Linked DNA regions of Rattus norvegicus. The protein of the gene in region 1 purifies or fractionates together with the protein of each later gene. This does not show direct contact. Links are inferred from orthologs where the notes say so. Each region holds a gene or a part of one and is shown in the gene's direction. Other genes may lie near its edges.

The links.
Region 2: the proteins of Pim1 (region 1) and Edc3 purify together in Homo sapiens (affinity purification with mass spectrometry; 3 studies listed by BioGRID and IntAct, counting the BioPlex papers as one, with this or other methods). This does not show direct contact. The link is inferred for Rattus norvegicus from reciprocal best matches to the Homo sapiens genes PIM1 and EDC3.

The regions. Positions count from the first base shown.
Region 1 is NC_086038.1:7,553,604-7,560,133, forward strand, and holds the start of Pim1 (serine/threonine-protein kinase pim-1), read left to right. Parts: upstream 1-2,892; 5' UTR 2,893-2,895; coding exon 2,896-2,977; intron 2,978-3,070; coding exon 3,071-3,177; intron 3,178-3,272; coding exon 3,273-3,323; intron 3,324-3,422; coding exon 3,423-3,789; intron 3,790-5,542; coding exon 5,543-5,719; intron 5,720-6,530. UniProt on the Homo sapiens protein: Proto-oncogene with serine/threonine kinase activity involved in cell survival and cell proliferation and thus providing a selective advantage in tumorigenesis.
Region 2 is NC_086026.1:67,004,119-67,010,091, forward strand, and holds part of Edc3 (enhancer of mRNA-decapping protein 3), read left to right. Parts: intron 1-744; exon of another isoform or gene 745-851; intron 852-2,240; 5' UTR 2,241-2,336; coding exon 2,337-2,494; intron 2,495-5,314; coding exon 5,315-5,634; intron 5,635-5,973. UniProt on the Homo sapiens protein: Binds single-stranded RNA. Involved in the process of mRNA degradation and in the positive regulation of mRNA decapping. May play a role in spermiogenesis and oogenesis.

The DNA.
Region 1 (6,530 bases):
ATATTAATTAGGAAAAGGAAAACGAAGTGGGTAGGTGGGATAAATAAATGAAGAGATAGTGTATGTACAGGTAGTTTTTTGTTGTTTGAAGACAAGATCTTTTGCGTCTCCGACTGACTTTGAACTTTTGATCCTTCTGCCTCTGCCTCCTTTGTCCTGGGATCAGGGGCAATGCCCAAGGTACCATTCACGTATTGCTGGGAATCGAACCCAGGATTTTATGTCTGGCAAGCAAATACTCTACCCACTAAACAGCATCCTCTGACCAGAAAGATTTTTTTTTCCTTTGTAATAACCCCACATGACTGTCAGATGGGTGGAGGAGGGACAGTGAATGAAGACTTGGGAGTTTGTCCAGCAACAATGTGCAAATACGACGTGTTCCTCGTTCAGAACGCAGGGCTCTGGATAAGAGGAGAGAGGTCTGGCGCCTGGCGCGTAGCTCAGGGGCAGGGTGCACGTGTAGGACTCTGGATTTATTTCCCAACATCAAACACATTCCGAGAAGAGGACAGGGCCCTTTGGACAGGTGGACTTGGTTTTCAGAGTCACAAAGCCCGGAATGTGCTGGGAGATTGAAAACAAGTGGAAATAGTCTTGTTTAGACAGAGCTGAGGACCTGATGGGACTGGAGGTACACTGGTGTTTTTAAAGTAATTTATTTATAGACAGATTTTTCTCTATGTAGACAAGGCTGGCCTGGACCAGAATGCTGGGCCCAATTCTAGGCATACCTGTTTTCTGATGCCCTGTTCAATGCCAGTGTCACAGGAGTTTAAAGGAAAGCTCTGAACCCTCAGGAGCAGAATTTGGGTCATTCCCCAGCCTGTCGTATGACCCTGTGTCATCCCACTTACGATTCATTTTCCTATCTGCAAAAAAGGAAGTAACTCTTGTTCCCCTGGGTTTTTCTCCTTTCGTCATCAGAAATGAATGAGCTGGGCCACAGAACAAAAACAAAAGGGAAATATGTAATGTTTTGTTACGGAGTCTCTGGGTATCTTTATAAGCACCACGGAAAACTTGTAAAGGAAGCCTTTAAACACGTTAATGACTACATCTGTAACAGGCTTTGTAACAGGCTCGACAGTCTGCTCCTTTCAAGATCTCTCGGACCGCCCCCCTCCCAAAAAAAAGCAAAAATAACGAAAATGGGGTGTAGCTGGCTTTCAATGACTCCCTGCCACTAGCATCTCAGTGTATAGGTTACACAGAATGAGAGTCTCCCAATTTCACACGTCGTTATCAACTCTCCCTGAAGTTTAAAAGGACAAAAGACGCGGTATTTCCACGTGCACGTGGGGCCTTTCCTTTGAGACAAGGCTCCGGTCCCGGGCCAAGAATAGCTGGTATCGCCTGACTGCTAATACCAAGCTGATGAGAAAGAAGGTGACTACAGGAGCAACCTCTGATTAAACCCAGCGGCACCCTCCCACCCTCGCCCGCGATCAGGAATTTTCCTGCTCCTCCCGCCCTCTCGGAAGGGGCTGAGGCAGCATCTGGCAGGAGAGAGCTAACATTTGTGTCGTGATTTTCTCTCTCCCAGGCGCTCGGACCCGGATCCTTTCTGAGGGGATCAGAACCTTCTGGTATCTTATGATTTTCTTTTTCGTTTTCTAAATTGAGAATCTTTTGTCACCCGCTCCTCGCAGCCCAGGTTCCCCCCCCCCCAACTCCCCTCGCAGGCCTGTGACTCCCTCGGTGTGCAAACGCCGGTGACTCACGTCTTGCACAGCCCTTCGCCCCCCGAAACACAATCGCCACCCCCGGGATCTAGCCCACAGTGCATCGTCAACCCACCCCAGCAGCCTTGGAGGTCTCCCGGCTGAGTCACACCAGAGGACCACCCTGGTCGGCATCCACACACACGCGGTCCCCCTGCTCATGGCCTCCGCGCCGGCCACACCAACGCCCTTCCATTCCTCACAACTTGCTACGCTCCAGCTCCAACCCTCGACCCCCCACCACACCCCAAATCTCCGGGAAACGCAGAGCCGGCGGAGCTGGCCTCGGGCGGCCTTTGATGGCTTTGTTATTGTTTGGGTTTGAATCGATACGCCCCTCCCCATCCTTCCTCCCCCGGCCGCGCGCGCCACCCAGCTCCCCGCCTCCCTGCACGCCCAGCGCCCCTCCCCCTCCGTTTTGGCGCCTTTTCCTTCCCGCCACGTCGTGGCGGCGTTAGCGACCATTCTGACCGCGAGGCGCGGGGCGGGGCCCGGGCGGGGCCCGCAACGCCTTATGCAGATCAGGCCGCTTATGGTTGGCTGCAGCCTCGCCCGGGGGCGGGGCCGAGGCCGAGGGGTGTAGCTGCGAGGGGGCGGAGCGGAGGGGAGCGGCCCTGGTCCCGCCGCCTCCCCGCCCCCTCTCCGCCCTCCGCCGCCGCGCCAGCCCGGCTCCCCACCTCGGCCTCCCGGAGAGGCCCCGCCCCGTCCCCGCCCGCCGCGCGCGCCCTCCCCAGCGGCGCGCTCCGCCCCTTTACTCCTGGCGGCGGGGCGAGCCGGGCGTCTGCAGCAGCGGCCGTGGCGGCGGAGGAGGCTGGAGGGGAGTCGGCAGCGCCGGCGGCGGGATCAGCAGTAGCAGCAGCAGCAGCAGCAGCAGCAGCAGCAGCAGCAGCAGCAGCAGCAGTCACAGTCAGCAGCAGCCCTGGGTCCCGCGGCGCCTCTCGCCCCGCCGCCTTCCGCACTGCCTGACCCGGCCGGCGAGCCCTCCTGCCGCCAGCCCCGCCAGCGCCCTCAGTCGTCCTCCGACTCGCCCTCGGCCTTGCGCGCCAGCCGCAGCCCGAGCCGCAACACCACCCGCAGTCTGAGTCCGGGCCGTCGGCTCAGCCCCAGCTCGCTCCGCCGCCGCTGCTGCTCGTCCCGGCACCGGCGCCGCACCGACACCCTGGAGGTGGGGATGCTCCTGTCCAAGATCAACTCCCTGGCCCACCTGCGCGCAGCGCCTTGCAACGACCTGCACGCCAACAAGCTGGCGCCGGGTGAGTGTCCCCACCCCACCCCGGGCGCGCGGGTCGTTGGGGGGGACCCCCGCGTGGGCCGCGCGCGCTTAGTGTCCCGTGCCTCTCTCCCAGGCAAAGAGAAGGAGCCCCTGGAGTCGCAGTACCAGGTGGGCCCGCTGTTGGGCAGCGGTGGCTTCGGCTCGGTCTACTCGGGCATCCGCGTCGCCGACAACTTGCCGGTGAGTGGGCAACCCCGCCTTGGGGAGGGCGCGCGGAGGGATGCTTTGAGCTGGAGGGTCTGATGGAGACTCGGGGGGTCTGTCTTTTCCTCCAGGTGGCCATCAAGCACGTGGAGAAGGACCGGATTTCCGACTGGGGGGAACTGGTGAGTGAGCCAGAGCCCGAGACCCTCGCCCGGGTGGGTGGGTGGTGACGGGCGTGCCGGAACCGGCGCGCTAACCCTCGCCCTCACTCACCCTTGCAGCCCAACGGCACCCGAGTGCCCATGGAAGTGGTCCTGCTGAAGAAGGTGAGCTCGGGCTTCTCGGGCGTCATTAGACTTCTGGACTGGTTCGAGAGGCCCGATAGTTTCGTGCTGATCCTGGAGAGGCCCGAACCCGTGCAAGACCTCTTCGACTTCATCACCGAGCGAGGAGCCCTCCAGGAGGAGCTGGCCCGGAGCTTCTTCTGGCAGGTGCTGGAGGCCGTGCGGCATTGCCACAACTGCGGGGTTCTCCACCGCGACATCAAGGACGAGAACATCTTAATCGACCTGAACCGCGGCGAACTCAAACTCATCGACTTCGGGTCGGGGGCGCTGCTCAAGGACACAGTCTACACGGACTTTGACGGTGAGCCAGGCCCCGGGGAGGGAGCTCTGCCCAAGGTGCCGGCTTGGAAGCCTCCGGCGGCCTCGGCTCCGGCCCTTTGTAAAGGTCATTGGGCCGCCTGGCTCAGAGCTGGCAGGGGTGGGGCAGAGGCGAGCTTCCCGGCATAGCACAGCCGGGGATTTCAAGCTGGTTGAAAACCTGCAACAAGCATTTCTGGCGTGATTGGTTTTTTTGTTGTTGTTGCTGCTGCTGCTGTTTGCTTGTTTTTCTTTTTGGTAGGAATTTAGTAAATTCCATGCTTTCCCCGTGAATAAGAGGTCGTGGGCAATCCGGCTGTAGCCCAGATTTCTAAAGTATGACCCACTTTTCTCGCCAGTAGGAGGTGGAGCCGGTGGTGGCGGGAGACTTTAGTGCCGGGTTCTTTTTGTTTGTTTGTAGTTTTGTTTTTGTGTGGGAGTTTTAAGGTAGTTCGTAGAACTGCCGGGTTTTGTTTTGTTTTGTTTTTGAGGGCAAAGGACTAAGAGCCGCGGTTCACTCCACTCGGGGGTATTGTGGGGTGACGAGGCCTGGGACGAATGTTGTGAAATTAGATCTGTTGCTGGTTTGAAAATTAGTTGGGTGTCTCCTCAGGGAGGCTGAAAACCTATCTATCCTAGGGAGGGGCTTGGATCGCGTTCTTTCAGAAAAGGAGGGGAGGGAATAGTAGATCAAAGCACGAGGGTGGGTCATGATCTGAGCGGCTCACCCCAACAAACTACGTCCTTTCAAAACTTGTGACTCTGGCTTGTGGTTTGAATTTCTTTGGAGGATGCTGGGCTGGGCTGCATTTTTTGTATTTAACAGTTAATGGCTGGCTGAGTCCTCCCCTGTGTTTTCCTCCCCTGGGCAAGCCTTTACTGCCCCCTGTTGGGCACCTTGAGGTTAGCGCCTTTTTTTTTTTTACTACCCAAAGTTTGTAAACAGGAATCACGTGGTCTGAAACCAGCCCTGCAATCGTACCTTTCCAGTTTGGGGAGGAAAGAGTGTAGGTGTCCGGGGCCTAAAACCCAGAGGAGAGGGGTTGGGGATTTAGCTCAGTGGTAGAGCGCTTGCCTAGGAAGCGCAAGGCCCTGGGTTCGGTCCCCAGCTCCGAAAAAAAGAACCAAAAAAAAAAAAAAAAAAAACCCAGAGGAGAGTTTCCAAAGCACACCCTGACTTCAGTGTTGTGTATAAGGGTCCTTAAGTGGCCCGTTCTAGATGAGACTAATCTGGCAAAGTCTTTGGAGTCGTTGTAGTTCAAGGTTATCCCGCTGAGTGATTAGGGCCTCCACGATTCAGCTTTTCGCTGCCTCTGTCTTTTGGGCCAGTGTGTAAAGGATTTGGGTTTAGGGTTTGGGTTCCTGGATAGGTACCATATCACTTGTCTGGACCAAAGAGGCAGAGATGTAGTGTAAATAATGTGTATGATTGTTTTAAAGTTCAAAGTCTTGCCTTCTGAGACCTGGGATTCAAGGCATGTGCTGCCCAATCCAAGCCAGGCACTGCCTTTAAGAAGTATTTTAAAGCCTGGTGGTGGTGGTGGTGGTGGTGGTTCATGCCTTTAATCTCAGCACTGGGAGAGGTAGGCAGATCTCCAGGGCAGCCTGGCCTACAGAGTGAGTCCCAGGACAGTCAAGGCTACACAGAGAAACTCTGTCCCGAGGAAAAAAATCTTTAAAGAAGGGCTCTGGGCTCCGACCGTTTGCTTTGTTTATTTTTGCTAATGCCGGCTTCTTTCTATTCCCTCTGCTGGTAGGAACCCGAGTGTACAGTCCTCCAGAGTGGATTCGCTACCATCGCTACCACGGCAGGTCGGCTGCTGTTTGGTCCCTGGGGATCCTGCTCTATGACATGGTCTGCGGAGATATTCCATTTGAGCACGACGAAGAGATCGTCAAGGGCCAAGTGTACTTTAGGCAAAGGGTCTCTTCAGGTAACTTCCCTTGCCTCCCCCAGCTCTCCCTTCCATTTTTAGGGTTGGTATATTTGAAAGGCTGGTTTGGGGATTGCAAGAGAGTATGGGGGTGCTATTCCTACCCACCTTCTTAGTTTTATTTTCTTATGGGGAGAGTAGGGGTTTAACCTGCCTTTGAGCCCCGAACTACTGGGGTTAGAGTTACTCCTTTTGGCCTCGGAATCCCATCCAGGCCTTTTTTTTTTTCTTTCATTTTTTATTTCATCTCAAATTGGAATAAGTTTTTTTTGTTTTTGTTTTTGGTTTTTTTTTTTTCCCCCCGGAGCTGGGGACCGAACCCAGGGCCTTGCACTTCCTAGGCAAGCGCTCTACCACTAAGCTAAATCCCCAACTCCTGGAATAAGTTTTATATACATCCGGCCCCAACTCCAAGACCCTGTAAAGTTTTAAGTATTAGCAGAGACCTGGTATCTAAACGGAAGTTTAAAAAAAAAATCAAGGTCTATTGAAGCCTTCTCCCCTTAAGGCAACAACTCTCTTAAGTACTGTGGTCCCGGTGACCTCATTCTGGGTAGTGTCAGTGTAGGTCGGTAAGCATAAGAATTGAATCACCTCATCTTGCTCAGTGATGGCTCATCAAAACCCTTGTCATCCTTCCTATTTCTGGTGAGTGGGTGTCGTGGGAAAGGCCGGCTATTGAAGTCTGAAACCACAGGTTTAAGAGGGGAGGCACGTTTTTTTAACTGAAAGACTGCTGGAGGCTTTCGTGTTAAGTTTTTTCCCACCCGACAGCGTTAGGTATAAAAAGTACTCGCCTCTTTAAAAAAAA
Region 2 (5,973 bases), on another chromosome or scaffold:
GCTCTGTATTTGATCTCCATCAAAACGCATGCATGAGCATGTACACACACACACACACAGGTCAGCCAGGCATAGTGACATTAATCCCAGTAGCCGGGAGATACAGGTAGGCAGATCTCTTGAATTTGAGGCAGACTGGTCTACATAATGAGTTCTAGGACAGCCAGAGCTAAACAGAAGACACCCCCCAAAAAAAGTTCTTTTGTAGCTCCTGTCTATCTTCCTGCTTCACAAGCCCTAGCTTTTTAAAAAAAAAAACAAAACCTTAGTAGTGTGTGGGTAAAGAAAAATGTTTTACTCTTTGTTGTTGTTGTTGTTGTTGTTTTCAGTGTTGGGGAATAGATCCAGAATTCATGCACACATTCTAGGAAAGCATTCTCCAACTGAGCTGTGTCCCCAGTCCTAGGAAATTTTGGCTTATGTTCTTTCCTCTGAGCCTGGTTTTTCTGTGTAGCTGTGAATAGCCTAGAGCTTGCTCTCTGGGACAGATTGGATTCAGACTTGCTGCAATCCTCCTGTTCCAGCCTTTCAGGTGCTGGGATTCCGGGCATGCACCACCACACCCAAGAGGTAGTTTATAGGATAACCCATTTGATTTAATTTTCAGTATTTCGTCAATGTATTTTATAGGGGAATTTCCAATGAAAATGGACAGTTGCACATCAGTATAGAAGCAAGTAAAAACTTGCATTTAACAACTAAAAGCCACATTTTCCTTTTTTCTTTTCTTTCTTTCTTTTTTTTTTAAATATGGACCAATTTACAAATTTGTGTGTCATCCTTGTGCAGGAACCTTGCTAATCTTCTCTGTATCGTTCCATTTTTAATATATGTGCTGCCAAAGCGAGCACAAAGCCACATTTTCTTAGTGCTAACATTTTGATTCAGTTAGCATGGTATAAATTTGAATGTAGAATATCAGGGCCTTAAAAATACATATTAACTGGAAAAACAAGAGCTGCTCTCCATTTTGTTAAATTTTAGTTGGTTTTTTTTGTTTGTTTGTTCTTTTTTTAGTTTTTATGACAGCTTTTTATAATGCTGTTATCTAAAGCAGGTGCCAAAATAAGATTATGGAGTATAAATGATAGAAAAGGAAATTGATGCTACCCTAACATAAAGTAGGCAAAAGCTGACAAGGAATGGAAACAAGTCTACAGTAGGTGCCTTTGTTGTTGTTTGTTTGTTTTTGAGATAGAGTTTCTTTGTGTAGACCAGGCTGGTCTCAAACTCCTGCCTCTGCTTCCTGAGTGGTGGGTGATGGTATTAAAGGTATGTGACACTACCGCCTGGCTAATAGGTGTCTTTTATAGATAGTAATTTAATTAATTAATTTATTTATTTATTTTGGAGCTGAGGACTGAACCCACTTTAATTTTATTTATAGTGACTTATTTAGTTAAAATTTTTATGTACAAAAGTTTACCCGAGTGTGTTCCTGTGCATCAGGTGTGTGCAGTGGCTGAGGAGGCCAGAAGAGGGCCTCAGATTCTCTGGAACTGGAGTCACCAGCACATGTGTGCTGGGAATGGAACCCGGATCCTCCAGAAGAGCAACCAGTGTTTAACTGCTGAGCTCTCTCTCCAGCCCCTTTTGTTCAGCCTTTTAATTTTTTTTAAAGTTTTGATGGTGCTAAAATTTAAACCTTGCTTGTGAGGTAAATAGCATTCCACTGCTTAGTCAAATACTTTGTCTCTCTTTGAAAGACGTTGCACTGTTACCTGCCCTGCCCTGGGCTCTGTAGACCAGGCTGGCCTCAAACTCACAGAGACCCACCTGCCTCTGCCTCCCGAGTGCTGGGTTTAAAGGACTGTGCCACCACCACCTGGTATCTACATGGTCTTTGCATACGTGTATCAATATTGCATATTAATATGCACATTCCTACTGATGGTTTTTGTTTTTTTAGATAGATTCGCACTGGGTAGTGTGAGCTACCTGGAACTTACTCTGTATACCAGCCTGGCCTCAACTTAGATCCACTTGCCTGTTTCCCGCCAGCCTCCCAACGTTGGGAATAAAGTTATTTTAAGCTGGGTGTGGTGGTACCTTTCACCCTAGCACTCAAGAGGCAGAGACGCATAAACCTCTGTATGGTTGAGATCTACATAGTAAGTTCTAGTTCCACCAGTTACACTGTAAGGCCTTGTCTCACAAAATAAAACAAATCCAAAACAAAGGTGTGTGCACTTACACCTCACTTCTTACCAAATGCTCGTCTTCTGTGTGTTTGTTTCCAGGCTTTATCACCTTAGTGGCAGAGTGTTATCAACAGCACTGAGCACAGAGCCTGACGTACTGGTTCTGCACGGAGCCTTCACATCCGACACGAGGCAATGGATTGGCTAGGCAGTATTGTGTCTATCAACTGTGGAGATAGCCTGGGCGTCTACCAGGGAAGAGTATCAGCAGTGGATCAGGTCAGCCAGACCATTTCTCTTACTCGGCCCTTCCATAATGGGGTGAAGTGTCTTGTACCAGAAGTCACCTTCCGGTAAGTGTCCTGACCGACGTCCTCCAAAATCCAGCCTGGTGGGTTAGGTGCTGGAGTCGAGGTGATTGACAGTATCTTCTTGCCTGGGCTGTTGGAGTTGAGTCTTGTCAGAAAGGAGAGTTCAGTCTTACAGGCCTTAGAGTTCTGTTGTTCCTCTCAGTGGAGACTGGTGTAATACAGTCATCATCCTGTACTATCTCTTGCCAGGCTTGCACAGGACTCAACTGCCAAATTCAGAAGTGCCCCTTTCTCTTTTTTTGTGGGGGGTGGGGAGTTTCAAAAATTGGGGCTTTTACGGGTTTTTTTTTTGTTTTTTTTGGTTTTTTTTTTTCTTTTCTTTTTCTTTTTTTTCGGAGCTGGGGACCGAACCCAGGGCCTTGCTCTTCCTAGGCAAGCACTCTACCACTGAGCTAAATACCCAACCCCACGTTTTTTTACTTAAACACCAAGACAAGATTGCAGTATGCAGCCCAGGCCAGCCTGGAACTCCCAGAATTCTGCTCGCCTCTGCTTCTCTAGCTATTTTAGATATGTTAAAGTAATCGTAATATATAGGCATAGAAAGTAGATATACAATAAAACATCTATTGTTATTGGACCATATAGAATCTTTTATATAATCTTTGGTATATATAGAACTTTACCACTTATAAAAGGTGGATGTGCTTACTTATTTTTACATAAAGAATGCAAGATTGAGTTGGCAGAGGTAGTGCATGCCTTTAATCCCAGTACTTGGGAGGCAGAGGCAGGCAGGTATCTATGAGTTCAAGGCTAGCTCAGTCTACAGAGAGAATTCCAGGACAGCCTGGACTAGACAGAGAAACCTATCTCAAAACAACAGCAAAAAAGAATTCAATTCTAACATGGCTGAATATTTGATACTGTAGTACACAGAGTATCCTCTTAATACTTTGATTTCATAGTTGTCAGAGGAATGTGGATTCATACATGTAGCTGAGCTCTAGATACTTTGTCTCCCGTCTGTCCCAGGTGGGTGGTCTAAAAGATACCTCAGATTGAAGACCTGCAGCTGAACACGTTTATTTACAGGTTTCTTCCTCGGGAGGCCTGGTCATATTATTGACACCTTTCACCAAAGTTAGACGTTTAAGACTTGGACTGGTGACATGGCTCAGCAAGAGAAAGTGCTTGCTCACAAGCCTAGCAGCCCGAGTGCAGTCCCCAGAACCAGCTCCAGCACATTTCCTCTGACTTCCATGTGCACACTGTGACACTCTGTCCCCTCCATCTATACCCTTCCCCCATGCAATGAATGAATGTAAAGAATCTTAAAAAATTAAAATTTCTCAATGTGAGAGACTGCATTAACTATGTAACACATGTGTGTCTGGTGCCTAGGTAGTCTAGAAGAGGGAGTGGGATTGCATGGAACAGGAATTACAGACAGCTATGTGTCCTCTAGAAGAGCAGCCAGCCTTCTTTTTTTTTTTTTTTTTTTTTGGTTCTTTTTTTTTCGGAGCTGGGGACCGAACCCAGGGCCTTGCGCTTCCTAGGTAAGCGCTCTACCACTGAGCTAAGTCCCCAGCCCCTGCAGCCAGCCTTCTTAACCTTTGAACCATCTCTTCAACCCAAGGGAAACATTTTTTTTTTCCTTTTCTTTTTTTTTTTTTTGGAGCTGGGGACCGAACCCAGGGCCTTGCGGTTGCTAGGCAAGTGCTCTACCACTGAGCTAAATCCCCAACCCAAGGGAAACATTTTTTAAAACAGGGTCTCAAAAGTATAACCTTGCCTGACCTGAAACACACTCTGTAGACCAGGCTGGCCTTGGACTCACAGAGATCCGTTAGCTTGTGCCACCATGTCCAGGGTCCAAGAAAACAAAACCTTAAAAAGGAAATTTAAGAATCATAATGAACGGGGTTGGGGATTTAGCTCAGTGGTAGAGCGCTTGCCTAGCAAGCACAAGGCCCTGGGTTCGATCCCCAGCTCCGAAAAAAAGAAAAGAAAAGAAAAAAAAAGAATCATAATAAACTTTTTCCCAAATATGATGATCTAGAGAGTACTCTTAGAGTTTCAAAGAAAATCCCCATCAGGAGCTGTCCAGCACAGAAAAGCCAAAAACAGGTGGAAGAGCGACTGTATCATCCTGGCTGCCTTGTAACTCTATGTAAACCATGCTGCCTTCAAATGGTGATGATTGGAGGTGGCGATCCTGCCTTTGTCTCCTAAATGTAGGATTCTGGGCAAGAGCTGCAATGCCCTGTTGGTTCCTTCCTCTTTCCTGTTGCCATGGAAAAGTCTATTGTGCTTATGATTATCACCTTACCTTCCCGATAGCCTTCCACAAGCATTTCTCCTTATGTACTACCGTAGAGAACATTTGCAGTTCTTCCTGTGGACAGTGCCAGATTTTCTTAGTCTCTGACTCTCTGGGTGAGATGTCTTTCACCCTAGCGTCCTCTGCATGTGTCTTTTCCAGTGCGCAGACTGAGTCCCTTAAAGGAAGTACTGTGTCTCTGTGTAGCTTGCTCATAACCAGGGCTCACCACATAGTAAGGGCATTGTATGTTGAAAAGCAAATGGGTGAAAGAATTTAAGAAAGCTACTAGCATTCTGGAAATCTAAGGAGGCTATAGAGCTGTTCTTAACAACTGGGTCTCTAAAGTAGTGTATGAGTTGCAAGTTGGTGGCTGGGCATGGTCTGTAGATGTCCTGCTACCTTTCTTAATTTCACTTCTGTTAACCCTGAGTTACTGCAGTTTTGCAGAGTGCAGTTTCTTCCTTAACCCCAGTTTCATCTCTACCACTTTCCTATTGCTACTATAATTTTGAGACTTGGACTTTTGTGTGTTTCAGGGCAGGTGATATTACAGAATTAAAAATCTTGGAGATACCAGGTCCTGGAGACAACCAGCAGTTTGGAGACCTTCATCAGACAGAATTAGGCCCTTCTGGTGTTGGGTACCAAATGAGTATCAATCAGAATGGAACAGGCAAGGTGGTCAAGAAGCCAGCCTCTTCCAGTAGTGCCCCTCAGAGCATCCCTAAGAGGACAGATATGAAGAGCCAGGACGTTGCCATTTCTCCTCAGCAGCAGCAGTGCTCAAAGAGTTATGTGGACAGGCACATGGAGTCTTTGAGTCAGTCCAAGAGCTTCCGTCGTCGGCACAACTCCTGTAAGTACAGTCAAGGTGCTGTCTTTTGTAACCTGGTGTTTCAGGCTGTAAACACTTACCTACTGTTGCTCCTTCCATGAGTCCGTGATTCCTCATACAAAGGGTTTCATGGAGATACAGTGTGTTTCTGCCATTCTAGGGCCAGTCCCTCAAGATACCAAGGAAAAGGAAATGACTTATTAGAGGTTCACCCAAGCTTCTTGCCCACTTTGTCACTTTTCTCCCTTCAGGAAAGGTCTTGGATCTGCACCATATTCATGTTTTAAATCTCATAACTGTTGGGGTTGTGATACCTGATTGACTCTACTTGGGGTATTCCAGCTAATTTCTTGAGTAGAC